Linked DNA regions of Rhinolophus ferrumequinum. The protein of the gene in region 3 interacts with the protein of the main gene of each other region in a pairwise test. Links are inferred from orthologs where the notes say so. Each region holds a gene or a part of one and is shown on either strand. Other genes may lie near its edges.

Region 1 (7,753 bases), on a different chromosome or scaffold from region 3:
TGTACAGCGTATTACAGGTTTTGTGGTTGCAAAAAGTTATGTAGTTGAAAAGTTTACTGATATTGCTACCCACCTAAGCCTAAACTAAATCTAATGTTCCCACCTGCAGTTTAATTTGTAAATTAAAGTGTTTTAAACATGAGTCAATTATGAGTATTAGTTTAAAGGGGAAGGTGAGACTTAAAAAGTATTCCCAACTAGATTATCTACATCAATATGTTGGAATTCTGTAATTTGCTTTCATTTTGTCTTAAAAAAATGAAATAGCAACGCTATATCAGTCACACAGAGGACATGCAGATTTAGCAGTATTGATATTATACTCTATCTGGTTGGGATTAAAGACACCCTGTACCCACATGTACACCAACAGCAGGTCACACATTAACAGTTGTAACTAAGCACTGTGACAAATTAGCCAGTTCTTCCCACATTAGTCCCTATTAAAACAAAAAAAAGGGGGGGAAGGGAGCAAAATAGTTACAAAATGGGCAATGTAATTTTGCCACAATTGCCAAGGTTTAATAGGCAAAGCAATTGTAGTTAAATATAACTGCATAAGACGTTTGCAAGTGTTTTAAGGTAAATGCATATAATCATTTTTAACCCTTGCCTTTTAGTATAAGGTCAATACTGCCAATTTCATCTGTGACAATAGCACTTGGAGTCATACCATTGCCTCCATTATTGATCTGATCCTCCTCAATCCTCCTTTTGACAATCCTAAAATGATTGAAATGTGCTCCACAATCCTTAATCCAAAGCATTCTTAATCCATCTCTTCAGATATGTCTACAGAAAGACACATGAAAAGCAAGATAAACATAAGAACTTCCCCAGGTAAGAACCACAAACACCCCCAATATCCCAGTTCACACAAACCAGAGCAGAATAGACATTTACACAATATCACAGTCTGAAGAGCATGGAGAGTTAACTAAATTTAAACAATCCTGTCTATGACATCACTTAAAATACAATTTATCAGACATGTGGGGAATGTAAATGTTAGGAGCAAGGGGATATTACACAAGAATGCAATTCAACACTTTAACCCATTCTGAACAAAACAGTTTGAATTAAAAAATGAAAAGATTGTACTGAGTAAAGGAAAACTGTATACAACATGGGTTCTACAAAAAGTGTCACCAATCATCTTATGTGCGAGAGCGAGATCTGCTATGACGGGGAGAATAGCGTGGTGATCCTCTGCTTCTCCTTGGGGAGTAACTGCGACTCCTGCTGTTGCTTCTGCTACGGCTTCTGCTACGACTACGGCTTCGAGATCGAGATCTTCCATAACTTGGACTTCTGGGCCCATCAACTTTAACCCGGATGTAGGCAGTTTCTCCCTATTGAATAGACAGAACTTTCGATTGAAAGATCTAAGCTTTTATCTGTCTTCAGGCATGCTGAATGAATACAATGTAGCTAAAACCAGAAATCTGGCACTTTACTTGGGCACCCTTGCCTGAAATCTTACCTTTAAATTCCACTGTTAAGACCACTGTATCCAATTCTGGCCAAAGAAAAGAATAAGTGTATAACCTACCTCATGAGATCTAAACTTAGTGTTATCCAGTTTTCGAACTGCATAGGTCATATCTTCTTTCCGTACAAACTCCACGACACCAGTGCCATCTCGGTAAACATCAGCATAACATACATCACCTGCTTCACGCATGTGATCCTTCAAATCCTGCCAGCTTCCACTTGGAGGCAGTCCTGAAAAAGTGTTTTTTTTCCAATACCAATTATCCTAAATTTCTCATTAAACTTAATTTACATTAGAACAAAGATTACTTTAACAATGATTATATTTAAGATCCTAGGTAAATAGCTAAGATTCTGGAATCCGGACTCCAAAATTATCTGTAAGGTAAGGATCTTCATATTCTAGGTACTGCAACCTAATTTGATAAATCTCCATCGCAGTAACCCTTGTTTCCTCAATTCACACAGAAAGCTAAATTTAAAACTTCCATTTGTCAAATTGGTCACGCAAGGAAAACGTTAAGTGGTTTCTGTCCCTTCTCATCAATCCACATTAACAGTAAACTCACCAGAGACAACCACTCTGTTTTCAGATCGCCTTGATGGGGGGCCGTAGCGGCCTCGGGGAGCCCCGCCACCTCCACCCCCGCCGCCGCCTCGGCCTGTACCACGGCCGCTTCGAGGAAACTCCACCCGCAGACGGTATCCATCGTAATCATAGCCGTCGCGACCATACACCGCGTCTTCCGCGTCCCTGCGTGATCACAGAAAGCAAAAAGAAGTAAGAAAAAGGACCCGGAGAGGCGGCTAACTCAGCCGGGAACTAGCGACCCCCCGCACATGCGCACCCAGCGTGGAAGAGCCCACATGCGCCGCATAATAGGAAAAGCCCCTCCCCCACCCAGAAGCACGCCAGGCTCCAGACTACACCAGCCCTCAACGCCTCAGTTTCCCGCTACGAGACTAAGTCGGTCTGAGAAAGTCCATGGGGCCCAGCCATCCGAAAAGCCACACGAACTCAGCTACTTATTCAACTCCTGCCTGGGCGATACCGTCTTGCCCCCAACCTAAAAGCCACCTTCCCATGCTCTATGTTAAGGCCGTGGAGCTTTCCCCAACTACTCCAACCTAATTCCACAAGGCCGCAAGGCCCAGGCCGCCTCACCGCGGGTCCTCGAACTCAACGAAAGCGAAGGGCGGCCCTCCGCGGCGATTCTTGAGATCGATGTCGCGGATAGCACCGTACTTGTAGAACACGTCCTCAATGTCCTTGGTTCGGATATCTGGAGGTAAGTTACCCACGTAGATGCGGCAGTCGTTGTTCCCTGCTGGGCCACGAATCACACCACCTCCCGACATGGCGGCGACGAAAAGCGCGGACTCGAGAACAGGCCTTCCCACCAAGCCTAGCGCACGGCAGAGCGAGCCCGCAGCGACACCACGTCTCCCGCGGCCCCTCCAAAATGGCGCCTTTATCAGCTCGGCGCACGGATATGGGGGGAGGGAGGAAGAGAAGCGGGAGGAAGCAGCTATTTGATCTCAGTACGCACGCGCACGAGCGTAACGGGTGCTGCGAAAGTACGTTTACGCACGCGCGACGTTACCCTCCGCGCAAAGGGAAAAAAAAGTTCCCCGCGTTGCGGATTTGCGGAGTCGTTTGCTAATGGAGTGACCAGCCGTTTGGTAAAAAGATACAGAGCCCTCGTTAAAGGGGTTATTGATCCCTTTTGACTCTTAAGAGAAAGTCAGTTTCCTCAGGAATGAACCTCTTTAAAGCAACTCGATCCCTTGAAAGGATTTGGTGAAACCTAGCCTAGAGCCTGTCCCACCATGCTCTGCGGCGTCAACGGCCTTTGGCGGGAAAAGACTCCCGGGGGCGGAGTCAAAGGGGGAGGGACCAGGCAGTTGCTCTGGAAACGGGGAACTCGGAGAGTGCGCCTAGTCCGGGAGCCAAGGCGTGACTTTGTCTTCCTGCCCCTTCTGCGAACAAGCCTTGGCCGGCTTAGACAAGTGTCTGATTTAGGGAACCAGCTTAGATTTCTTAGTAAATATTGTACAGTCAGTACGGGTCCACCTTTGGTTTAAAACTTAGTATAGCTCAATTCAACACTCCTTGTGCTAGTGGCGGTGATTCGTTCGTTCCTTTTTTTGAACTCATTACCGGTCCTTTCAGGTAATATAAATGGGCAAAATGGATATGTGAGAATTGTGATCACTGGAGACCATAGTTGCTGCTCAGGATTGATCCTACTTCCATGCTATCCCAGGGAGATAAGAACTTTTTACATTTTTTTCCCCCAGAGATATTTAAAATCTGAATTTTTATGTGAAATGTTGGGATTTTAAAATATTAGTAAATGAATTCAAATTTTTTAAACACCCCTACAGTCGTACATATGTTAAAATACATTATACATTTATTTGCAACAATCCCTCTCCCCAGGAATGTGAGGCAATTTGCAGAGATAACCATAAAAAATTATTAAAACTGGATGAAATCAGGGAGAATGGGAAAATGAGGGAGGGTTAAGATGAAGTCATGGATAAGGTTACTACACAAAATGCCTGCAGTAATAGTCTGGTGAGTTCCTAGAGAAGGACTGCAAATTTGACTGGTCATCCCAGAAGTCACAGTAAAGTCAGGAGCACAAGTGCGGATATTCTAAATCCAAAGTGTCTTTGAGATTAAAAAAATAGATCGTTTAGGAGATAGTCATTATTTCTTAGTTCTAAAAGTTGATTGAATGTATTTTACAAATGTTTGGTAGTCCTTGAACTGTCTGTGATGGTTTCTAAAATTATGTGTATATGTATGTGCATGGAAATTTTAATCTGATTCTTAAAGGGGGCTGTAGGTCCCAAAAGGAAAAGGAACCTCCTAAAATTTTAGAGGGAAGGACATCGCTTGACCATCCTTCAATGATATTTTTGAAACCAAGACTTTAATTAAAAAGAGAACAACTTGATAATTTTTTTTTTAAAAGCAGGCGCAGCTCACAGTGGCTCATGCGTGGATCAAACCCGGAACCTTGGTGTTATCAGCTCCACGATCTAACCAGCTAAGCTAATGGGCCACCCCTGATAATTTTTAAAATGAGAAGCTGACCAAATGGACACTATTTTTTAACAAATTTACTCAGTTTCTAGCACTGTCCTAGTTGGTTTGTAGCAGAGAGATGAGAAATTTTTTTAAAATTGCAGTCATCTCATGTATTCGTTATTTTCATTCAAGTTATTTACTGAGCACATTTTCTTTCTGTTCTAACTTTTATCCATCAATTTGGAATTATTCGTGTTCATCTTCTGTTGATAAATGTTAAGTAAGTGATAACTGAAGTGATTTAAACATAGGTGCGTTTAATTTCAAGACATTTTCATTCCAGAAAAATAAGAAAACTGTGAATTTGCTTTGATTTATTCTTGAGTGTTTGACTTAATGAAATCATTTATGATTTTGTTTAATTAAGAAGAACACAAGGTAGACTTTAACATGAGTGAATGGGACATTCTTGTTTCTCTATTGGCATCTTTTATTGTATTTGAATAGAACCAAATTATAGGTTCTGGGGTCCATGATGAGGTCAGGATGTGGCACGAAAGGTCTGGACGGCTGTTTATCAAGGTCTCCCAGGATGACATTGGCTTGGTGATTATTACAGTTACGGGGTGTGATATTATTAGTGTACCAGAGTTGATGAACATATTTTAGTCCACAAGAAAGCAAATAAATAAAATGATTTGTTCATTTGTTGGGTGGTGGGGCAGATTCATTTTTGATAACTAGTATGCTCAAATTGTACATACCAAGATAACTGTTTTGGCAGGTCTGGAAAGCAAATCAGGAAGTTGCTTAGTAAATGAGAACTCAAAATGAGGTGAGTCATTTTGAGAGATATTTTATTCAGATCATGGTGAGACCTGCTAAATGATCCCTGCTCCACACAGAGTATACCTCTTCAATGACAGGAAAATTCATACCCCTTGGATTTTGTGTCTCTGGACAGAGCTGGGTAAGACTGGCAATTCTCTTTCTGTAGGCTAATCTTCACTCAACTTTCTCTAAACAGTGTGCTAGGCAATTGATTAGATTTCTGCTGACTGAATTACAACCACTTGCAGTTTTGCCTTCTGAGATTACATCCTACTCTTAATTAGAGGTTTAGAGTGTTTCTAAACTCCTCAGTTATACATTCACAGGCAGTTATATGGATTGCTCCCACAATTAGCTAATTTATTAAGTATGGATTTTACCAGCTTAATTCTCAGAAGCTGCTTTATTTTTAACACTGTTGGTGTTTGAGGAAAAGTGACTTCCTCAAAAAGAAACTCTTTAAATGCTTTCAGTCCAATTTAGTAAGCATATGCTAGTGTTAGCACTATACTTTACCCTGGAAATAATTACTTGGGGGGGGGGAAATAGAAAAGAAAGAAATTCAAAAAGTTAATTACTGTTAATGTTGAAATCAGAAGACCCAATTTTTCAGTGATTTGCTGAACACTCAAAACTCTATACCTGTGATGATAGTTACACAACTCTGTAAATATATTAAAAATCATTGAATTGTGTGCACTTACAGTGAGTGAGTTGTACAGTATGTAAAGTATAACTCAAAACTTGTTAAAAATGACTGGGGGGAAAATAACTCCACAAGTAGCAAAATCACTCTGTAGTACCATTCCTCTAAAGGCATTACTGGGGTGGGAGTGTTCCAGAGTAATTTGCACCGAAATATGGCTACCCTAATCTGGAAATTCTGTTTTTAATATTCATGTGTCAATGCCAATGCTTGTCTTCCTTGGGGATAACTTACTTTTACTAGGTAAAGAAAGAGACACAAAGATTCGGAATATTGTGTACGGGAGTTATCTCCAGGAACAGTTCACTTGCATAATTCTGTATTCATTGTTCCACTTGTTTTAGTTGTAAATATTCTTGAAAAAGGAAGAAGTAGTATATGTCTTTTTATTTAATTTATGTTTGTCTCATTTTCACTAGTAAACTATGCTGAGGACAGATTTCTGCTGTAACTTCCTTTATTACCAGTAAATTCTCTGTTAAAACCAATATTGACGATTTACTGACTGCTCTTTGAAAAAGGTGGGATGTTAGATGAGCAGAATGTTGTTTCTATGGAAACATCATCATGTTGCTGTCAGTGGATAGACACAATGGGTATAAGGATGGTTTTTCATTTCACTATCGTAAGGATGGCCAGTTTTCAAGCTCAAATAAGTCAACAAATAATATTTTCTTGGTAATCATATTTTAGGACTGGCCTCCCTCATTCTTTGGTTCTAGTTTTATTTTTGGCTAATTCTTTCCACCTTTATTGTTCCATCATTGATGCCAGTAGGATATGATTTTGCCAGAAAATAGCTCTCAAAGTGATCTATTACAAAGAGGTATATTGTCATCATGTCTTCCTCTTCCTAATTATTACTCTCTCTCTCCCTCTTCCTACTTAGCTCTTTCTCTTAAAAATTGAAACTCCACTTCATATTGCACATTTCTTAACTGGAGTGAGTAAATGGGTCTTTAAGGAATTATATTAAAAATATGGCAGGTATGCTTTATTTGCTAAAAATATTGCCCTTTTTTTTGGCAATTAAATCTTATAGTGTGAGTCCTATATAAATGTTAGCTATTAGTAGTAATAGTGGTATTACATGTTAATACTGATGCCAAGTATGTTAGAAGTAATTTCAATAAACTTTTATTTGAAATTTTGAGAGAGTGATTATTTTTTTCCTCTTTATTGTTTTAGAAAGTACCCCAGATTAGCTGAAAACTCTCAGAATTACTTTTCTAAATTTGTTTGCAGAGTTGAGTAGTTGCAACATAGACTACATGGTCCACAAGTTTACTTGGCCCTTTACAGAAAATGTTTGCCAGGAAATAGTCTGCTTTTGTAATTTTTGCTTGAACCTGATTCAAATATTCAGTGTTGTCATGTTCTCTGTCTCATAGGTGTTTTTGTCATGGGTAAGATCTTACATTGTTAATAGTTGTAAACATAAGTAATACACTTTTTCAAGTGAAATGTTGCTTCCACATGCTTCATCAGTCATTACTACAGTTTAGTGATAAGGTACCAAGACCTGGTGAAAGCAAACTCCCCTGCTGGTCTGCCAGCCTAGAACGGGAGCTGTTGCTCTGTTCCAGTTGGTTGCATTTTTTTTGTGGGGGGGGTACTCTAATTGGCTCAAAATGCTCACTGCCAGAGTGTGGGTTTCTGGAACCATTTTTGCATAGAAGTGA
Region 2 (7,465 bases), on a different chromosome or scaffold from region 3:
CCTGCATGACACCATCTAAATGTTTTAGAGGACTGATTAAATAGACTGTGGTCCAGTCATAACAATGGAACACTATCCAGCCATTGAAAAAGGAAAACACAGATCTGAATGTGGATATGGAACAACTGCCAAGAAAGAGTAAGTGAACAAAGGCAGGTGTACGATAATGAGTCTAGTTTAAATGTATGTGTACACACACACACACACACACACACACACACATGCCTATCCACGGAAAATTTCTGGAAGGCTACCCAAGAAAGTTGGTAATGGCTAGCTCCATATGGAGAATGGAATTGAGTACGTGAGGTGAAGATTCACTTTTCATGATATAAACTCCTATACTGTTTGGAAAAAAGTGTGTGTGTGTGTGTGTGTGTGTGTGTGTGTAATATAATATACTGGTATCACGTGTATAAGTCCTGTTAACTTTCTAGGCGATGTTCTAAGAGTATTCTTGCTAAGTGGTTTGAAGATAGAGGAACCAAAAGTCCTATTCTTGTCCCCAAACTTAGAAAACAGACAATCTGATTATGTCTAGAGTTGTCAAAATGTGGAGGCAATGTGTGAAAAAACTAAATATGCTCATCTTTCAGAAGGAGATCAACTGAGATGTATATACATAAGTACAGCTAAAGAACTAGGTCAGCCTCCCACCAGGCCAGTCCAAATAAAGCAGCAAGGAAATGAGCTGTTCACTCTTCTCTCCTTGGAGGGCCCAGGGGTGCTCTGTACTTGAAAAGATCCGCAGAACCATCCCAAAGCCCTGGGACTCAGGCTGGCTCCCAAACATTCTGCACAGGGTTTGACCCAAAGCCTCGCCAGGTCTCTCAGGCTCCAAGCTAGTATTCCACAGCATCAAGGAACCAAAGTAAGTATGCCTGAGTACAGAGGGCTGGCTTGAACAAAGGAAGTCACTTAAACATCTTCTAGCCTCCTGTCCCTGGGTCCCTCTGCCCGACGACACTGTGTGCCTTTCACTTTAATATTCTGTTGTTTTATAAGACACATTACCTTCTTTTTTAAAACTTCTCTTTTCTTTCCCACATTTCAGGCTCTAATGAAAGGATGTTTCACTACAAATTCCTGAGATGTGATGACACAGTCTTTTTGCCATTCCGTCCCAGGCATCTCAGCCTGATGTTCAGAGAGTGTCTTAGGGAGAAACCAAGATGGTGGGCAAGGCATAGGCTCTCATATATATATGACTTGATACCCAGGGTGTGCAGCGTAACAGTCATTCTAGGCCCCCAGAGAGGGAAAATCACTGGCTCTGAGATATTCTGGAGCCAAATATTCTCGTAGTGGAATAGGAGTTGGGAATGGGTCTCGATGGGAAGATGGCAGGAAAGACTAGGGGCTGGGTACTTAGTAAGGATGGCAGACGGCAGGCAGACAAAAGGTGGGTCCCAGGCATGGCTGAGGGATGGCCGGACAATGAGCCCACTGCTTCTCCCCAAACATGCTGCCCCAAGAACTTAAAAGGAAGCATTTTCGTGGTTAAGTTAAAAATCACTTGTGTTCAACACATTTCCTCCTAATTTCTGATACAGATGAAGAAATGAATGTTCACGATGTTCCTTATAGCAGCCATGCCTACTGAGCCAGCCAGCTCTGATCTATTCAGAGTTTTTACTTTATTTGCAAGGGGGGTGTGTGTGTGTCTTTTCCCCTTACTCTCACTGAAGTTTGTCCCATTTTGTAGATTACTAGAACCTATACCTCTGGCACAGGGCAAACAAGAAAGCCCATTTATAAACCATTCTGGCTTATGCTGCTTTTCTTTATGAAACCAGTAGCTAAAATGATATCTATGAATTTGATTAGTTCTGCTTTGCCCCGTGACCACATGTCAACCCAAACTGGTTGCATTTCTGGGACATAAAATTTCTTCTCTGCCTTCTCTCTGCTTAAGTGACCTCAATCCTTTTTAACCCGCAGGCCCCTTTATTGACTAGTCTGGAGTGGGGGACAGGTGTGAAGTTTAGTTGGGGAGGATTCCTAGTCTCCTGCCCTCTAATTCTGCCCCCAAAAGATGGATGCGCTGAGCTTTGCCTTAAATACAGATAGTTTCACTGTCATAATGGACTTTTCTCACAGGGTTTATTTTTTAATGTTTCATTATCTCAATGCTATTTTCTCCAGATTTTCTATAATGTTCTCAAAATCTGAAACTCCGAACTGGAATGTACTCTAGCAAACTGTTACACAGCCTGGGGAGGATCACCTTTCTCCTAGTTTCTAGGGGTCTTCTTTCCTCTGTCCATGCGCAGGCTGTCCTCTCCAGCCTGCAGAGCAGCTGCTGACTCACGCTTACTTTGGGATCTGCTAAGCCCCCAGCTCATCTTCTGCCCTTCAGCCAGGACAGCCACCACCCAGCTCATACAGCACTCTGCCCATCACCTGGGAGCTCAGCTCTGACCTGATAAGAAGTCTCCCACAAGTCTGCAGTGCTTCACCTGGCCCTGGCCCTGGCCCTTCCCCGGCCTACCTGGAAGACGTCGTTGGCACACTTGCGGCACAGGTTGTGCTGGCAGGGCAGGATCACCACAGGTTTGGAGAACATCTCCAGGCAGATGGGGCAGATGAGCTGCTTCTCCAGGTTGTCCATGCTGTGTGCATCCCCGAGCAGCGGCTTGAAACCCACTGTGAAGTTCATCCCCTCAGCGATCGTGCCTACCCTGGCCTTGGCTCTGGTCCTGGCCTTCCCTCACTGCCTCAGAACCCTTCCTCTTTTACTTTACACAGTCTATGGATTCTTGTGTTCCCTTTTGTTGCTCACTCTTGAAATAGCTCTGCTATCTCTCCTGTCCCTTCCTCTGACAATTCGCCTTGTCCTTAGGCAGCCTCTTTCAGACACTTCTCGTCTCTCTCTTCTTTGCTCTATACCCCAGCCAGGCACATGCAGTTTTCTCGTTCCCTCACTCCCTGCGTGATTCTGTCCCTGGAAATTTCTCCCTTTGTTCCCCAAACGACTAGTGTTCACTCTATGGGCAGCACTGTTTATTCCTCACTCCCCAGGGAGGAGATTAATTTTAACGTGGGGGTGGGGAATAAGGGGCATCTGTGTGACATTCCAACTCCCAATTTAGCTCATGTAAGGCGAGCCACAGCTGTCACCGAGTGAGTGACCCTGACTCACTCAGGCATGGGTGGCTCTCTTGAGCAAGAGCAGGGGTGAGCTTGACTGCTCGTGGTGAAAGGTGGGCCAGCAAAGGCATTGGGCTCTCACTCGCTCTCTCACTCAGAAGGCTCCTGTGCCCTCCTGACCCCCATCATCTGGCTCGGGCCCTTCTTCCAGGGCAGTGGCACAAAGTCAAACGGCATGACACAGTCAATCAGCATACATGGCTCAGGGTCGAAGGACAGATCTTGCCAGACCGACAGACAGTCATTGAAAATGTCTGCCTCCAAGGATTAGCCAGTGGCCCTCTTCCTCTGAACCCCGTGATTCTGTACAGGAGCACTAGCAACTAGAGAGAGAGGCTCTGGTCCAACACTTCTGGTCCACTCTTGTTCTCACCCAGAACTTTCTTAGATCACCCAAGGAAAAGAAGCTCAGAATGCTAGAGCTGGCAGTTGTGCCAGGGACGACCTCCTGAGCATGCTCCTGAGAAAGTGTGGGACTCTGGTCCATAAACACATCACTGGAGCCACTCCAAGGACTTTAGATTTGTCAGGAAATTGAGAGAAGCTGAGCTGGGCAGAAAGGACCTGAATGCCAGGCACCTATTTTGAGCACCGGGGGAATTGGTCTCCAGGGAAATTTGAGGGCACTGACATAAGCACAAGGCTCTGTCCGGACAGCCTCGGCCCCGAGTCCACAGTTGTCCTGGATTCCCGCCCTCTGAGGCAGACTGGGCTCAGAGGGGAGCTCTCCTCTGTCTTTTTCTCGTACAGGCCTTTTTCTCTATCCCAGGCACAATTTGTCTTTTGGGGGCCCCATGTATGCACTGGGATTGGACAAAAGCTCTTTTATTTACTTACATTCCTTAGTCCTTCTCCCAATCAGGAAAGGCAAGTGTGAGGAATTACTAGGCTCTGGTCCTGGGTGGGCAGCAAATACATGGTGCACAGAGGGTACCAAACAGGCAGTGCAAAGAGGCGTGAGTGGGGAAAGGGTCTGTAAAAGTGCAATCTTTTTTGTATCATATGTTTCATGCCCCTGTTTTTAAAACAAAATATATCGTGATCAGCCTGCGTAAGATGTGGTAAAAAAAAAAAAAAGGAGGCAAAAACAGGCACTGATGTGTGAACTTCAGTCAACCCACAGAACCCATGCTAAGCTCACTCATGGGGGCATGGAATGAGGCTGGCAATGCCAAGTGTATGGGCACCAGAAGAAGGTGAAACCAGCCCCAGAAAGGTGTACTGGCTTAGAAATGAGGCTGATGCTAAGAGCTCTTGCTACACAGAGTTGCAACAAAGGAGGGTTAGCTGGTGCCACAGCTCTGGGATGGGATCCACCCTGCTCAGGTTCTTGGTGGAAACATCACAAGTGACTCAGAGACCCTACCCCCCACCTGACATTGACTCAAATCCCAAGGAAGACACAGGAAAAAGGATGCTTGGGAAAAGTCTGTCTTCACTGTCTGAGGGTAGGGATGGGAGGTCTGCTCTCTAACAGATTAAAATTGAGACTGGAGCTAAAAAGAAGAGTAGCTGGTCGACCCTGTATTCCCAGGATGAGACAGAAATGGCAGCCTTCTAAAGTTGGGATGCTTATAAGAAGAGGGGTAAATCAAGGTCAATGTCAGGACAGGGCTACTTGCTCCTCTAGTCAACCTGTCCAGGGGACGCAGCAGCAGAAGTCACCTTCACTGGGTCAGCACCTAGGGGCAGAAGAAATTGGCATCTTATTAACCAGAATGAATGAGCACACAGAATGTAAGGCAAACCCCCTATTGGTAAAGATATAAACACCTGTAGTCCATACTATAAGGATATAAACTTTCCACTAATGACTGACTCATCTGCAGTTAGTGTATATTCTTTTCTTATCCTTTAATCATTGCTACATTTCAGTTTTCATACCTCACTCTTCTTCATCTTTTAATATTAATCTTCACTATAATTGTCTTCCTCTCTAAAATTTCCTTGGTTTCCTATGATGGAATTTGAAAAACATACATATACAAACATTGAGTAACAGTATTTTAGCCTCCTGGCGAGAAAACCGTTACTTTGCAGTTACACGTTAGCATCACTAGGTGGCACTGCTGTGAACTTCAGTCATTTTACCGTTTAGCTGCAGGGGGATAATCTCAGACACTTCGTTTTCCTTTTGAGTAATTGCAATAAACAACATCCTCCAGCTTGTATTCAACTACTGCCTTTTCTTGGCTTAACAGTCACGAGAGGCCATTACATTCAAACTGTCAGTTTGTGGCATAAGCCCCTCAAAAACTAAGAGTCTCCCTTTCTCTTTCTTCACTTTGCCCCAATACCAACTTGAGACTCTCATATTTAGGGGTTCACAGTTTCAGCCCCAACCATTTATTTCATTCCTAATCCAGCTGTTACCTCAGTCCCGGTCTATGGTTCTCACCTGATCTGGAAGGCTGATTTTGGACATTCTGCTGGAATTTTCTGCTCGCTACCTCCTCAGGTGGCTTAAGTGCTCCACAGCAAAAACAGCAGCAGCAGCAGCAACAGCAACAGCTGAGCAGAGCACAAAGGAGGATGAGTGTCTACAAGGTAGGAAAGAATGGTCTCAGTCCAGCAGCTCTTCCATATATCCATTCAAGCTCCCCTCCTCCTGCAGTCCTCCTGGCACCCAAATAACGAGACAAAAGCAGCATTTGTCCTAGGAGAGGAGGTAAGGAGTCCTAGGTGAGGAGGGTTACTTCCTTCCTTCCTTCCTTCTTTTTTTTTTTTTTTTTGAGTATGATATTATTTTAGCCAAAAATTGAGAAGGAACTAGCTTAGGATATGGTAAGGAATGAGTGTTTTTAAATAGAATAGTGTGTACAGAAACCATGAGAGGGTAAAGGCTTTATAATATCGGAGGCATTAAGAGAAGAGTCTTGCCAGGAGTGAAGTGAGTGAGAGAGAATGGTGTGTGGTTATTCCTCCTTCCTTATTCTTAAGGGACTAGGAAGAACTGCGTACCTTGAACCAACAACTATTCAGTGTAAAATAGTATCTGACACCTTCTTCGCCAAAGTGATCATATAAATACACTCCCAGTGAGCCATGCTGGTTGTAGATTTTCCTCTTCTTAGGGTCACTCAGTACGGAGTGGGCGGTGTTGATCTCTTTGAATATTTCTGCTGCTTGAGCGTCCCCTTGATTCTTGTCTGGATGATACTTCAAGGCCAGTTTCCTACCCAGGCAATACCCAAAAGGAGGGTAGGGAAAGAATAAGGAGTGGCTGGGGAGGGAGGGTTAGGATGAATGACAGGAATAGGTCTCAAGATCGGGAAGAAGAAATGCATAAGATGTGGTAGAAAGGATGGATGGAGGCAAGCAACCCAAGTCTAAATTCCTTCCCATGCCACACTGAAGTGAAGACTTAGGGATTCAAAAGTGGGCCAGAAAGCAATTACAGGGTTTAATAAGGGGCTGAGGTCTGAACCTGTAGGCCTTTTTGATGTCTTCAGGTGAGGCACCCTTCTGAAGCTCCAGCACTGCATAGAGAGTTGTCCCACTTTTGGACAGCTGATAGGTTGCTTCATTCACATGAGACATGATCTAGGTCAGAAGAGAAGAAGCATTCGTGAGAACTTACAGGTGAGGCCATAGAGAAGTGAACGTGCAGTGGCGGGAAACTCATTGCCTTCAGGGACTGGGCAGGTAAATGACTATAAAAGGACAGTATACAACAACAACGAGCGGGATCTGTGACTAGCAGAAGAGTGCAGGTGACCAGAAAAGACATTCAAATTCGAATTTTAAAGAGGAAACATCTTCTCACATTTTCTGGTGTCCTTCAGCTACACAGACCTCAGGATACCCCACATCCTAGAGAGAGCAAAGAGAGGTCTCAACATGGGAAGAGACTGATTTCGTCCAGAGCTACTAGCACCTGAAGTAAACAGCCCTGGGCTTTTCCAAACTCCTTGCTGGGTTTGAGAGACCAGTGCAGCCCCAATCCCTGAACAGGTTGGGGTCAGGAACTGGGGAGATCCACAATTCCCAAGGGAAAAAACGATTCAGAACAAATCCTAAACTGCCTAAGATAGGTCAGGTGTCCAGTAGCCAGGCCAAAGAACAGTGCTACAAGCGAGGCCGGAGACTTTATTCTTCCCCCAGCCTCCCCTCTCAACCTATCCCAGCCACTGCTCAGAAACGGGGCAGTGGGGTGAACAGAGGGGTGAAGAAGGAAGCGGAAAAATATAGCTGTGGGAACAAGAAGCAAGACCCAGAGAGTAGGGAGAGCTTGGGAGGCTGTGCCCCAGCAGAACCAAGGCAACAAGTTCACAGGGGAAGGATCTGTCTCCCCAGATCCCCTCTGGCTGTGAGG
Region 3 (7,388 bases):
AGTTAACTACAGGAAGGGAACCACTGCGGGTCTTCTCATCCTTTCAGACAATGCTCATGTGCAAATTACTCAAGAGACAAACTGCATTCTAGATAACCTGACCCTGAACTGCTATCTTTATATTTTTTTTCCTTTATTATATCTGGGGGCCTGGTAGCCACAGCTTTGTTCCTTTAATAGCCAGAGAGGCTGACATACAGTGATGATATGATTTGTTCAATCATAAATTAACTACCGCGCAAAGAACCATGAACCATGGTAAACTGGTGGGAGAAGTTTGCGACTTTAAAGACAAGTTTTTATCCAGAAGATTCAGGGTCTAAGAGATATTCTTCTCTCCTCTGCTGACTCTGAATCAAGTGAGAACTCTGAATCAAGTGAGAACACTAATAAGGAACAAGCAGTAGCCAGCACCCAAACACACCAGCTCAGGGAAAAGAACAGACACAAAGGTCAGTTAAAGAATAATACAAGCCTCCAAGTACTAAGAGCGTTGTTGACAATAGCACAGGGCAGATTCTCAGCGGTGAGAAGCAATTGTTGGAGACAAAAATTTTCTCAGCTTGTTTCAACTTAATGCTTTTGAAGAATTGACATGCAGTTTGAATTTCTGGGTGAATGAGTGTGACCATAATTCCCAACAGGTTATTCTTTTGCAAACATATTTGCTAACTGAAATCTCAGAAAACATAACCTACGAAGGAACCCAGAATGAAATGACTGCCTGGAAGGTGGATTTCTCTCCCAAGTTCATCCCAGTAGGGTACTGGGTTTGGAGGTGGTTTCTTTCCGTTCTCTAACGACAGGATTGGGTGTAGAGTGTGGCTCTTGGGCTGTCAAGAATAGAAGTAGTACCGGCTGTGTGATCAAGAGTAAGAAAACAAAAATGGATCCTAGAGGTAAAATTACTTAAAAAAAAAAAAAAAAAGTCTGGTCCTGGCAGAACAATCTCCTTGGTATATTTGCTATTAAAAGAAAAAGAGAGAGAAAACGTGCACAAGTTCAAAAAAATCAAATGTCAGACCTGAAGTTACGTTTTTGTAAAGCAATGAGGAAATAGTCCATACTTTAACCCAAGGTCAACAGGCAGCCAGCGCAGGTCCGAAAGTAAATAATTCTAACCAGACTGCAAAGTGGTTTAAAAAGAGTGTTCAACAGAGAACAAAGAAAACAGCAGACTTTTTTTTTTTTAGAGAAGAAAGAGAAAGGGAAACTGGAGTGGAGGGGCTTCTGAGTAGGGCAACAGAACTTACCTATCTGAGAAACAGACTTTCAGGGGGGGAAAATTACGAACATTTCACGGATTTAGATCGAAATCTGGTGTGATGAATGAAGAAAGTAAGGCAAAATAAGGCCGTTAAGCCAATTCTGTATTCAGTTGGCGCTGGCCTCCCAACCCCCATTAAACGGGCTGAACTGGTCTGCACCTTTGAGTTAAGTTTCAAAAAAGTCTCTACTCCACTCCAGGGTTAAAAAAAAAAAAAAAATCAGATCAACTTTCCAGACAAGCAGAAGCTGGATTAATGATTAAGAGAAACAAAAAGGATTAAATATCTGGCCTGGGAGAACTTTCCTGTGCAACGAAAATGTCAAAGGCATCCCTCTGCTCTTCCCTCTCAAAAGGGCTTCTCCCTCTGGGACAAACACCCAGGGCTAAGCCATTCAGCTTAAATTTTTCATTCAAATTCCTGATTTGGATCCCTCAGGGGCCAGTGGTCTAAATGCCAAGGGAGAAAAAAGGAGTTTCAGCTCACCTTTTAAGTGTCTGTGTGGGGCTCTCAAAACAGTGGCAGCCCTGCAGCTCCCATGCCTTGTGGGTGAATCCAGCAGCTCCCCGAGCCGGCCGAGCTGTGACCAGCCTCAACCTCTGCGTACAGGTGCCTAGAGGAAGGAGGAGGGCATTGGTCGGTGGAGAGCAGGAAATGTGTGACATCACGGGAGCCTGGACAGATAAAACATTGCTGGGCCCTTAGCTATTGAAACAGTCAGTAGGTCCCGCCCACCTGTCATTTACCTGAATACCTGCGAGCAGGTAGGTGGCGTCTCTGCGTGGACAAATGAATCAGTTAGAGCAATTTGCTGGATGGAATGTACTTTCTTTCCTGAGCATGACACGTGGCCAGCCCCGTGGACAGATCTGAATTTATAAGCCTGGATGCTTCCCTGGCCCTCTCCTCCCACCCGCCTCTCAATAGCTGCCTACGAAAGAGTTTAAAAGGAAGTTTAAACATCAAAATGCGACAGTAGTTTAGTGGGCATAAAAAGGAAGAGTGTGAAGATTGACCTCTTGGTAAATATCTGAGATTTAGACTCAAATGCCTTTTTGAATGGCATTCATTTGAACCCCAAGTGCTTCTCTATTACAATATAATAACAAACTGGAGATGACATTTCAAATTCATTGAAAACAAAATCTAAGTATGGCACTTGTCAGCAGTTTCAAAGTCAAGTTTGCAAACGCTTTTCCCCTACTCCTACCCTCTTCCAGCATTTTCATTCCATATTCAGGAGTCTCAAACCTCAGTCATTCCTACCTCTGCTGGCCCTGCAGTTAGTCACATGGCAGTTACAGTTCACCATAGGCCTGCAATTAGGAGCAATTTAAATGATTCAGATTTGAATGATAGTACAGTAATAATGTGGCGTTGTCTGCTGGTTAGAGCCAGGAAGGAGGAGTCAGAATTATTTCTGTCCCAAGCTTGGAGTGTGACACTGTGCAAGTCACGGTGTTGCTTCAGCTTTTCCAGCAGGAGAGGACAGGTTAACGCTACAACCCAGCCAGCACCACAGCTGTGAGCTATTACCACTGACTGTTAAACCCTTTGGCATCTTTCAGAGGATTGTAAACAACTCCCATCATTGGATTTAAACGTTGTGTATTTCTGTGGCCCCTGTCCAGCATCTCTGGACAATTCATTCACTCTCTGGAATGTGTTACCTGGGGAAACTGTGGCTTCTCCTTCCCAGGAGGATGACCTGCTTGCCCAGAGACATTTCTTCCCCCTTGAAGAAAAAAAATGTTGAAATTCCTATTTTTCCCCCTATACTGTCTCCCTCTTTCCCCTTTCCCCCTCCTGTTGATATTGTAATTGCTTTGGTTCCACAGGTTCTAATATTGTACTACTTTAGAGGGTTTTCGACCAGTTGGTTGGTTGATTGGTGTTGTGGCTTGGGGAAGGGTGGGGAAACAGACAGATGAATGGGAGGGGAGAGAAAAGAGGAGGAGGGAAGGAAGCCAGGTCTTGATTCGCTCCCTAGGCCTGGGCAGGGACTGGGTATAGCTAGTCATTCAATACCTTGTAAAACAACCAGGGAGGAAAGGAGGAGAAATTCTAGTCAAGGGCGCAGTGGGGTGGGAGGTGGGGGTGTTTGTGCAGGGCAGGCTCTGGTACTTCTCTTGCAAGACTGCTGGCTCCTCTCCTGAGCCACTGAGCCATTCCAGACTGCTCTAAACTACCTTCCTCACCTGGAAACTGGGTGTGCATCGCAAAGAGCTGGAAGCTTAAAAAACAAACAAACAAAAATCCCCCATTCATGTTTTTATCCAATAGAAACGAAGGTAGGTGTGGCTACTCTTTAATTTTAAAAACAACACAAAGATGAAGGCAGCAAAGACTTGATATGCAGGTCTTTCAGGGGAAAGTACCAGTCCTCCAGTTTGATACTCCATTGAGAAACATCAGCAAAAAAGGCTACCCCTTCACTGGACAGGGTTTCCCCAGGGACAGGAGGAGGGACTGGGCGAGCCTGCCAACCTGATGAATCATCTAGAAGGTTTGGCTCCAGCAGCCTGCCTTCCCTGTGTGTCAATCATTCACCTTTTCTGAAGGGCACCAGGTCCAACTTGGGAGAGGGGAATCATAGTCAGGTTTGGGGCTGGGAGTCTGGTGCGTGCAGAGGAAAAGAATTTGCAAGAAGTGACAATGCATAATGCTTTATCCAAAGGCCTCAAGGCTATGGGGTTTCACTTACTATATTCACATACACACACAACCATCTACATAAAAGGTCTGATGAATAAAAATTAAGAACAAGAGTTGGACCAGGAGTGGAATTCACTCCCAAAAAGGGTTTATAAAAGAAGAGGGGGGGAAAAAGGTGTATTTCACATAATCAGCCATCCCCAGTGAGATGTGTCTTGGTACTCCTGGATTTAGAATAATCTTTAAAGGTTTAAAAAATCAATATGAGTTTCATTATTTCATTCGGGCTATTATATTATTATGGAAATGATATTTCTAAAGTATTGGTGAAACAATATAAATATTCATAAAGAACTAACTTTGAATAAGTGCTTAGCAGGTGCCACTTAAGCGCTCTACACCAAGTCTGTAAGTTAGGCACTATTGCTACGTACATTTACAGCTGGAAAAAGCAAGGCATAGAGAGGCTGCGTTTGCTTAAGGACAGCACAACCAGCAAGTGGCAGAGCCAGTGCAGTTTTAGTCTCTGGAAAGAAAGGGGAGGAAGGCTTTGATTTCATGCTCACTGGGCAACTTCCTAAACACTATGAAGCTTTTTACCTATCCTCTATTCAGAAGGAAGTACCTTGAAGAAGTGGCCTTGGGGAGTGTAGTGTCTAGGAAGGAATGTCTCCAATTGCAAATGAACCAGTAATCTGGTTTATCCCTTCAGTGTGTGTGAGTGTGTGTGTGTAATGAGAAAACACACCAGGAAATCCATCACCCCTGGTGTATACTTGAAATCTTTTTGAGGCCTATCATACCAACCCCAAGAAAGGAAAGCCAACTTGAGGGGCCCCTTCAGACTGATCAGTGGTAGCTCTCTATGACCTCTTTTATGGTTGTCTTTCTCTGTAACTTCATCAGTCTATCACCTTTAAAATCTGAAAATCTTATCAGAACAGCCATAAGAACATGGAACTTTGTAGAACTGGGTGATGTGAGACAATATAAAATTAAATTCCAATATGAACCACTGCCCCGATGGATGGTTTAGACCAGGGTTGGCGAATATGAAACACATACTGCTCCATTGCCACCTCCCGTACCATTCTCACAGTCTTCGCCCAAGGGTACCCATGAGCTCAGAGGTAACCTCGGAATCTTCAAGATGTAAGTCCAAACACAGTGCAATTTCTATCCCTAGTTTGACAGTAAGTGGGAGGGATTATCAGAAAAGGAAAAGATTGGTGTTGGCTAGTGCCAATGGGAAAGATTTCATGGAGAACGGAACGTGAATTGGACCTTGAAGAATTTGGAGACAGTGAAAAGGGCAAACAGTTCCAGCGTAGGTGGAGGCGGGGTGACCATAGCCATCGTAGCCTGTGTGTGCCGGGGAGGAAGCTGTGTGGTGCGGAGAGAGAGGAAATACCACGCAATGAAATATTCATCCTGCTGGAGGATCCATCGCACACTGAACTGGGATGGCTAAGTTGGGACCAGATTATAAAGACCCTCAAGGACTGATTGCTTCAGGTCTTCACAGTACTGCTGGCTACTTCTCTCATAATGATTAAACAGTTTTTGTTTTCTTTAAAAAAAAAAGGAAGAATGAAGGAAATTCAGTATCTTGGGCATGGGGTAATGTATTAAGAGTGACAATATTTTCAGTGTTAGGCAAAACTTCCGTGATATGCCATTTCGGTTATCACGTGAGCATCTTTCTCTTTAGAAGCAAGTCTCCTTTGCAGTCACCACATCCTGTCAATTTTGTTCCTTGGAGAGGCAGGTGGAATGCATTAGAAAGCTCTCTGAACTCAAGGTTGGGCCTGTCCTACTTAACCGGCCGGTTCACTTGGGCTTTTTGATTAGTTTGAATTCTTTTATGTGTCTTGACAGGGAAATCTGAAGGGGGAAAGGAGGCCTGTTTTCAAAGCCCTTTCCTTCTAAGTCACCACAATGGAGGTTGGCATTCTCAAGGATTCCTCCTGGCAATGAACCTATTGCTAAGCCTATGCCTCATGATTCGTTAGAATTACTTCGCCCCATGTTTGCTTCCTTCTGTTTTTTTCATGGCATATTTGTAGAATTGTCTAAGACCGAATGCCACAACAAAAAACATATTCCATCTGATTTTAATAAAAGTCATCTCCAGAAAAATCCTCTTTGGCTGAAATTATTTAGCATCATGAGATGGAATTGCTGTATACATTCCATCATATTGGCCTCGGTTTTTTAAAAACTAGCTTAGCTCCAAATCTTTCATTGTCTAATTAAAAGTACTTAGAATGATGCAAATAAGCAGATCCCTGAAGGGCAATTATGGAAAATAATAGTAATAATCACAAATATCAGCTGATGTGATAGATGCCATCTGGTTCTGTATATGTGGAAGACATTACATTTCTCCCACAAACTCATACTCTGTGTATTGCCTGGTTTGCACATGAGCTTCTAGAATATTCTTTAGGTCTACGATTTAGAGCAGACACTTCTCTGGTTTGTGTGCTTTCTGGGGTAGAGGGAGTACATCAGTTAGTAGAGATGGTACACATTTTATGAAGGTTTATTACACACATTTGTGGCCAGCACACTTGTATTTAATAGGAATAAAAAAAGGACTTTATTGTTTCTGTCTCTACAATTGTCGCAAGGCCTCTATTCCACAACTGTGAATATCTTTATTTTTCTATGAGTCCATCCTTGCATAAACCAGGTCAGTTATTCAATTTTTTTGGTAATGGCTGCAGCTATTTTGGAGGTTGTCATATTTTTTTTTCTTTATTGGCTCTTTCATATATACTCACCCAATACCATCTATCAAAGATGTGAAACGTCTCTTCTCCTTGTGAACTTTGGCCCCATCCTGAGGGCTTCCAGATCCTTCTCGATGACCCCTCTGGCATCCTTGACCTCCTCAACTGTAAGGACATTTATCTCTATTCTTCTTAAACTGCCCATTTTCAGGGCCACCCCTTCGATCTTTTTATCATCCCCAAATCTCCATTTCAAAAAAAATCTGAGAATGCTACTCTCTATTTTCTCACCCATTCAGGGTTTTCACTCCCTTCCTCAAACTGTGCCTTCTCCTCTGAATTGGTTGTGATCTCTGGTTCCTGGAGGTGGCCCAAGAATATCTGTTCCCGACTGTTTTCACTTCAAGCCTAGCTGGCTCAGATCCCACTTCCTTGCCAGCACCCTCACTTCCTGATGACCTGGAGGAACCATGGTGCCAGCCTTCTCTCTGCCTATAAGTATAAATACTGGTGCCACTAGGTATGCTCTGCGATGCCAGCGGCATTTGTTACTCACCTTGGCAATCCCAGTCAGTGCCTCTTCCTTTCCTGCCAGTGGTCATCTCACCTTCAGTTCATTTGCGTTGCTTGGCACGCGAGGCTTTTCATGATTTGGCCCCTGCCTGCCTGTTAAACCTCATTGGCATCTCCTTATCCTTTCCATCCACACAATATCACCACCCTCTAGCTC
Region 4 (7,082 bases), on a different chromosome or scaffold from region 3:
GAGCATTAAAATCCTGTAGGCTACATCTACCAGGAATGGTTACTTCAGCAAGGAAGACGTCTGGAGAAACACACGAAGAAACTTATTTAGAAAATCAAGTCACCCAGAAGCAAGCATATTAATTACCTGGTTTCTGCACGGTTTTAATTGGCACGTGCAAAGTGTTTTGTTCCACCTTTTGGGGGAGTCACAGGTAGCGATAACAGACCTGAGTCCAAAGGCAATCCATGTCAGTTGCCCCCAGCTTGCATAGCTGAGTCCAAGCTCTCTCCCCTGAGAAATGGAGACATCCATGTGAGCCTCCCAAAGATACAAGCATGAGAACAGAACAGGATAGCAGGCGCCTTAAGGAGCCTTGGAAACTTTAAAATACTATGCAGACATAAGGTAGTGTTAGCATTTGGACCTGCCACCCATTCCACAATACAATGAAGATTCACATTGCAGAACCATCATCTCTGTACAAGTTAGCGCAGGAATATCAACTCTAGTATCGAGATTCAGAGTAACCTCTAAAATAAAACCAGTTTCCTTTAGAGGCAAAGAGTCAAAAATATAGCTAAGAATAAAAACGCTTTCCTCAAGTCAATAATATAAGATGGTTACCAGATTTAAAATCAAAGCTTCCTAATAACCATCCAAATTCAGATTTAAGACACTTTTAGAAATGCACTTGTAATTTTCGAGTTATATAACAGCGTCATTAATATTTTAAACGATAGGACTTTGCATCCTAGATATCAGCCTCTGACTTAAGGGAAAAACGTTTCAGTCTGAAATAATCTAAATTGACATTAATAAGAGCACATGAGTAGCACTTTTATTCCTTCACATAAGGAAGGAGTGAGAAATGTACTTCTTACAAAAATTACATTTTTGATGGAAAAGTAAGGTAATCAGGTTTAACATCTAAAAAAACATTAAATAGCAATACTGTCCAATATCTATTTCAAATAACCAGAGGCCATTAACACTAGTAAAAACACAGAAACCAAAAGAACTTTAAATGTATTAGCAACACAATACTATGGCACACACAAAAAATCTGACTTTTGAAATAACTCATTAAACTTTTAGTTAAACTGTTTCCTTAACTGAGTACAACGTAAGTTTGATTCAGCTTCTCTATGAAGAAAAATTCACTCGATTCTACAGTCCAGAATACTTCTAATGCCACTCATCTCACACAATGTACAAAGAAATTTCTTTCACAGAGATGACAGCCCAGCAGGCAACAAAAGATCTATGTAAATCATAAAGAGCAAGAAGTACAAACCTAACTGTAGGACTGTTCAGAAGGGCATGGGAATAAAATTTAAGAATACATATCCATTACCTTTCCACAAGCCCGTTTTAGTAAAGCAAGCAAGATGAGCCTAAAATTAAAACAAAATGGGAAAGCGCTCTATACTGATGCCTGCTGAACAATTCAAATATCATGCTTCAATTCTTGGAGACAGTGAGTCTCTCCACCACCATCAGTCTGAGGAACTGGTTGTAATCGGCAAACGTCGGAGATTGCTGTTTTAAAATATAGATATCTATGTACAAATAGAATATGTCTGCCTCATTGTTCACTTTCGACAGTGAAAGAGCCAGGGTCAGCGTTAAGACCAGCAGACCCGATTCATCTCGGGGACGACAAACTGTCACTGCACAGAGTGAGCCATGCAAAAGGTAACACGTCTGACCGGATAATGTTTCTGCCATAACCCAGAAGAAAAGCAGACAAGTGGGCCCAAACCCATCGTTATCTGCAACGTGAATTCCAGACACAGGAGGAGAAGAGGTCTGCTCCCGGGAAAGAAGACTTCATTTACCTTCCATCCCAGAAGATTATTCAGGAAGCTGGAGGATGAACAAGCCAGTGGACGCTGTCCCAGGCAGGCACGCCTCCATTCAGCCCTGTGTGCCCCTGTCCTGTAATTCCCAGGACTGTTCAAACCCTGAGCTGGCTGGACTAGTGCTAAAATGGTATGGGCAGCAGACTCCTTGGCCAGTGTTCTGAACCCTGAGCCAGCCACCAATGAGGGTCGCCCACTCAGCTCTTCCCAAAATGAGGACAGGCAAGCCAAAAAGGGGCACTTGTGTCACCTCTTCTCCCCTATGGATCCCTGCAACAGCCAGCCTGCGAGGCTTGGCATGACTTGTGCACCCCCCAGGGAGGGCAGACCGCCCCACCAGGGCTGCTAGAGCCTGGGCATGGAAGAAATACAGACATGAGAGCGGGAACTGGGCTCAGCCACTAGGGCAGCTGGGTCCTGCCCTCCCGGGCTTGGGGTCTGCCCGCAAACCTCCTCCAGGGTCCTCAAACTCTCACTAACAACCCAGCACCTGTTCCCTTTGCATCTTCTGCATTTGGTCTCCTCAAATCCTTCCATTTTCATCCAGCTCTTTCTCCAGTTCTTTAGACTAACCACACTAGTTTCCAGAGCTACCTCCCGATCTTCCCCTCCGATGAGATAATACAACCCCCGCCCCACAAAGTCCCCAGATGTTCGCTGTCCCCCACCCAGAAGTTTCCCTTGGGTGTCCTCCAGTCCCCAAGGATTGCCTTCAAGTGTCATCCCAATGCCCCAGGCTTCTCCTTCCCAAGTCTCCCAAATTCACATCTCTGGCTTTCCCCAGGTGTCCCATATCTCCCAGGTCCCCACCCAAATGCCCCCCCCCCCGATTGCTACCTGGGGCCCTCCTCTCCTCCCCGAGGTCTATTTCCAGCCATCCTCATAGTTCTGCCTCCCAAGCCCGCCGCATCCTACCCGGTGCCGACCCTCCCGTCTCCGAGCCCCCTGGCCGCCACTTCCCGGCCCCCATGGCCTCGGGCGTCAGTTAACGACCGGCGGCGCACACCCTCACCTTGGTTCACCAGCCGCAGAGCGTGTGTGAAGGAGGGGTCCAGGGAGTCCTTCTCCGCCATCAGCTCCGGCAGGTACTTCTCCTCCATGCTCGCGGGCCGCCCGGGCCCCGGACGCGGACTCGACGCGGGCGGGCAGCGGCGGCCCCGCAACTCGCGACCGCGCCCGCGCCCCAGCGGCGCGGAACCCGGGCTGGTCGCCGCGGCCGCGCCAAGCCCGGCGGTCGGCCTGGCGGAGGCGGCACGGGGTGGGAACCGACCGCGCCGCCCGGGTCCCCGGGAGGGGGGGCCGCCCGCTGAGTGCCCCGCGCTGGCGGCCGCGCCTCCCGGATGCGGCCCCCCGCTCCCCAGCAGAGGGCAGCGGGCGCGGGCGGGCTCCAAGCGGGCCCGCGGGCGGACCGGCGGCGCGCTCAGCTAGCCTCCCGCAGTCCCGGGCGAGCCCCGCCAGCCGCCGCCGGCGCCCCGCTCCGCCGCGACCCGCACTCCGCTCTCCCTCCCCGCGCTCTTAGCCGCCGCGCCGGGCCGTGCCCCTCCCATCCCACCCGTCCCCCCCCGCCCTCCTTCGCCGCCTCCCTCCTCTCCTTCTCTTTATCCCCCCCCCTTCTCCCCCTTTTCTCCTCCTCCTCCTTACCTGCCTCTCCTACTTCGCTCTTTCCGCTTTATTTTCTTCCTTTCTTCCTCCCCCCTTTCCGCGCTCTCCTCCAGCCCTGGGGACGTTGGGAGAGCCCCGCGATGCTGTTACAGCATTGCCAGGGGCAGAGACCGACAAACTGAGGCCCAGAGAGGTCAAGCGGCCGGTCCAAGGTCACCCAGCGAGCAACCCCGGTGGGAGAGCTGTGCAGTGGTACCCGCGGGTCAGGGGTCAGAATGGGGGAGAAGAAGGGAGGGGAGCGCAAGCTCGCCCCAGCGCGCGCAGGGGAAAGGCAGCCGGGCGAACCGCCCTGCTCTTTAAGGCTCCCAGGACTTGCCTAACTTATTTCGCTTTGCTGTCCCCTCCTGTTTGCAAGGAAAAAACGCAGGCTCGCGGTCCCCGCTGGGCGCCGGGCTGTGAGCGCCTTCCCCAGACCCTCGCTGGCAGGTCGATTACATAAAAAAGCGCGTGTCCTTCAGGGCGTCTTTGTCATCCCGAGTTGCCATCGGGTTGTCATTCTCTTCGTCCATAAGGCGGCTGTGCCTGGATTGGGGACGCCACAGCGCATCCCCTCGCGGGGAGAGTCCCTGGGAAGCACGTGGATGCTGGTGTGCTCTGTCCCTCGCCTCCCCCTCTCTCAGGCCGTCTTCAGACTTCCTGAGCTTGTGGAGTAACCATCCCCCAGGAGGCCAAGGAGCCTGTCCTGCTTTCCCCTACCAAACCCCCACATCAAGTCCTGGCTTCAATGTCACCTTCCCTGGACAGCCTTCCAAGGTTCCCACGGACCCCCCCCCCCCCGCCCCTCCGGCCCCAGCCAGCAAAGCTGGTCAGAGCTCTATGCACCCACCAGGGCTGGTAAGCCCTCATTTACAGAAAGCTGTCATTCTGTTTTCATCAGACCATGGGCATCTCACCGCAGGGGCTGGAATTTTGTTTTGCAGGGAGGATCTTCAGCACCTGTGCGTTGGGGCAGGAATGGGGGCACCAGAAATGTCTGCTGGAAGAATAAGCCAGTGGCATGCCACTCCTCTGGCAAGCTGCGGGGGGCTGAGCCGTCCTCCCAGTCCCCCAGGCAACCCAATGATGCAAATAGAGACCACTCTTCAACCACAGATGCTGAGAGTGGAGATCAAGGAGCTCTGAGCTGCTCTGAGTCTCAGTCCCCAGTGCCCAACTGCCCTCACTCTCAGACACCCCACGCCCTGCTCCACCCCTAGACTGACCTGGCTCCCACCTAAGGTGCCATTTCAGAGTCCCCCGTAAGAATTTTCTCTCTGTCGTCTTTGGTCTAAACGTGCAAGAGGCAGTCAAATCGGAAGGTTAAATGTGTGGCCTCTGGGACAGACAGCCTGAATGTGAAATCATGGCTCTGCTGCTCACTAGCTGTGTATCTTGGGCAAATTACTTTTCTGTGCCTCGGTTTCCTCATCTGAAAGTGGGGATGATAGTAGAACCCCTTTCATAAGAGAATCATGAAAATGGAACACATCAACGCGCAATGAAATCCCCCAAACAGTTTCCAGCACATTGGAAATGCTTGGTGGTCTTTGTTGGGTTCCTCAGCTCCCACCCTTCCCCCCCCCACCCCCCACATGACTGCTTTCCAGGTCTCTCGAACCTCTCCTTCCCCTGGGTTGAAGCTTCCAGGGCATTTAGCAAACCCTACCCCTTGGGGTCCTCCCTGCTGGACAGTCTGCGTTGCCCCAGCAGACTGATGAAAGGCCTGGAACAACATGACTCTTTCTGACATGGGGCCGAGCGGAGCTGCTTGGACAGCAACATGGATGGCTGCAGTTCCAGCTCCTCTCTGACTCCCTGTACGACCTCAGCTATTTAACCTGTCTGAGCTTTGGAGACACATCTTCAAAACCAGGGTTATGCCAGCAGTCCTGGAGGGCAGTTGGAAGGATTTGTGGGGAAACGTTTTCCCCTGTCACTTCAGAATGGAAGGCATATACCTCTGGCTTATATGCCTACAACACAGGAATTACATTCTAGGATTTGAGTTTCTGACAGCACCTTGTAAAGAGAGGAAGAGGACAGTGTCTGGGACGTGGATGAGCCCCAGGAGACGAGAATGGGGACCAGATGCTCAGGTGAACCCCTCTCCACTTGATCTTACACTCTCCTTTCCATTCGGAACTTCGGTCCCAGTGACGGTCCAAACCTTGAGTAATCACTGTTTTAATTAAACATTTACTAAGTGCCAGGCATGATGCCAGGGGCTTTCATTCACGATTTTCAGTTTTCTCCACACCTTGTAGGGAAGGTATTATTCATCACCACTTACCCATGAGGACACCGAGGCTCAGAGCAGTGTGATACTTTACTTAAGGCCCACAGCTGTCAGCAAGGGATCCCAGGCCCACGGACTCGCCTCCTGAGTTCTGCCCTCCCAGGTAGCAATCTGACACTGGTGACTGGCTCCATCCCCCGCCTTCATCTAAACAGTTGGCAGAGACGTCTCGCCAACAGCTGGGGAGGAGGGCTGTGCACCAGAACATCGACAGCAAAGGCACTGAATCCTCTGCTCTCCCCTCCTTGTCACAGAACCTTCCAAGAGGGCAGGTACCCAGCACCATGAGCGCCCATGTGGGCCCCCCAGGGAGGAAGGAGATGAATGTCTCTGTGAGATGCTCAGGCAATGTCCCCACCCACCAACCTGGCTGAGCTGCTGACTGGCGGCACCTCTGCGCCTTCCTGCAGACTCTCTGATTTTCATGCCATGGCCATCCTGTGAGCCCTTTGAAGATGAGCAAATCGGGTTGGGGAAAGGCGGTCGTTTTCCTACAAGCAGCACCTCCACTCAGGTCTTCTGACTTCCAGACCAGAGGCACATACCAGTACTCACTGAGCACAAACCACGTGCAGGGGCTGCCCTGGGTACGTACAAGGGGCGAGCTATGGACAACACAGGCTTCTTCACAGCCACTCCTGCCCAGGACCACTGGGCCACTGCATGGTTTGCACCTGCCCTGGATGGGAGGTCCTCAGCTGCAATAAGAAAGTGGCTGCCCTTCCTCCTGAGAACCACAGGCCAGGGATTCAACTCAAACCCCAGAGGCAGAGGACACTTCCCAAAGCAACCTCACTCGGTGTCACGCAGCTCTCTCAGGAACCACTCTGCCGCACAGCAAGTCCCTTAGCCCCAGCCCAGTACCACCATGACACTGTCTGTCAGAATCCCCACCTGTCTCCTCTCACCACCCGCCCTGCCCGGAAGAGAGGACAAACGCATGCCTTCCCCCCCCCGCCTTCGTGACACCAACTACAGTAGGTCAGACCCTCCTGCAAAAACTCAGTGTCATCAGAATATACCAACATGGAGGGGGTGTGTCTCTGAGGCAGTTGTCATGTTTGTACAAATTGCTGCTCACATTACAAGCTTCCTATTCCTTTTGTTTAGAAAGGAGAGCCCCACCCCAGTTACCCCAGACCCTGCAGTGTCATGGGGGCTAAAGTGCCAATCTGACTGGACCGAGGGCCCGAGAGAGCTCTGCTTGGCCCCCGGTTCTCCTACTCCCTAGCTATGTGATCTTGAGTCAGCTACTTGATGTTTCTGAGCGTGGAGAGAGAAAATACCTGCCTCCCACGGTC

What was found. The genes of interacting proteins can lie anywhere in the genome.
Region 1: the proteins of LNX1 (region 3) and SRSF1 interact in a two-hybrid assay, tested with the Homo sapiens proteins (3 studies listed by BioGRID and IntAct). The link is inferred for Rhinolophus ferrumequinum from reciprocal best matches to the Homo sapiens genes LNX1 and SRSF1.
Region 2: the proteins of LNX1 (region 3) and TRIM54 interact in binary tests that used the Homo sapiens proteins (3 or more experiments, as listed by UniProt). The link is inferred for Rhinolophus ferrumequinum from reciprocal best matches to the Homo sapiens genes LNX1 and TRIM54.
Region 4: the proteins of LNX1 (region 3) and KHDRBS3 interact in a two-hybrid assay, tested with the Homo sapiens proteins (2 studies listed by BioGRID and IntAct). The link is inferred for Rhinolophus ferrumequinum from reciprocal best matches to the Homo sapiens genes LNX1 and KHDRBS3.

What each region holds. Positions count from the first base shown.
Region 1 is NC_046304.1:27,597,798-27,605,550, reverse strand, and holds the start of SRSF1 (serine/arginine-rich splicing factor 1), read right to left. Parts: upstream 3,013-7,753; 5' UTR 2,854-3,012; coding exon 2,660-2,853; intron 2,249-2,659; coding exon 2,064-2,248; intron 1,726-2,063; coding exon 1,553-1,725; intron 1,353-1,552; coding exon 1,158-1,352; 3' UTR 1-1,157. UniProt on the Homo sapiens protein: Plays a role in preventing exon skipping, ensuring the accuracy of splicing and regulating alternative splicing.
Region 2 is NC_046296.1:53,402,347-53,409,811, forward strand, and holds the start of TRIM54 (tripartite motif-containing protein 54), read right to left. Parts: upstream 3,013-7,465; 5' UTR 2,660-3,012; coding exon 2,492-2,659; intron 1-2,491. Other genes in the region: DNAJC5G (dnaJ homolog subfamily C member 5G), read right to left, coding at 5,059-5,105, 5,549-5,690, 6,112-6,373, 6,578-6,690. UniProt on the Homo sapiens protein: May bind and stabilize microtubules during myotubes formation.
Region 3 is NC_046288.1:16,132,847-16,140,234, forward strand, and holds the start of LNX1 (E3 ubiquitin-protein ligase LNX), read right to left. Parts: upstream 3,004-7,388; 5' UTR 2,939-3,003; intron 1,882-2,938; 5' UTR 1,755-1,881; intron 1-1,754.
Region 4 is NC_046297.1:68,445,729-68,452,810, reverse strand, and holds the start of KHDRBS3 (KH domain-containing, RNA-binding, signal transduction-associated protein 3), read right to left. Parts: upstream 3,013-7,082; 5' UTR 2,945-3,012; coding exon 2,857-2,944; intron 1-2,856. UniProt on the Homo sapiens protein: RNA-binding protein that plays a role in the regulation of alternative splicing and influences mRNA splice site selection and exon inclusion. Binds preferentially to the 5'-[AU]UAAA-3' motif in vitro.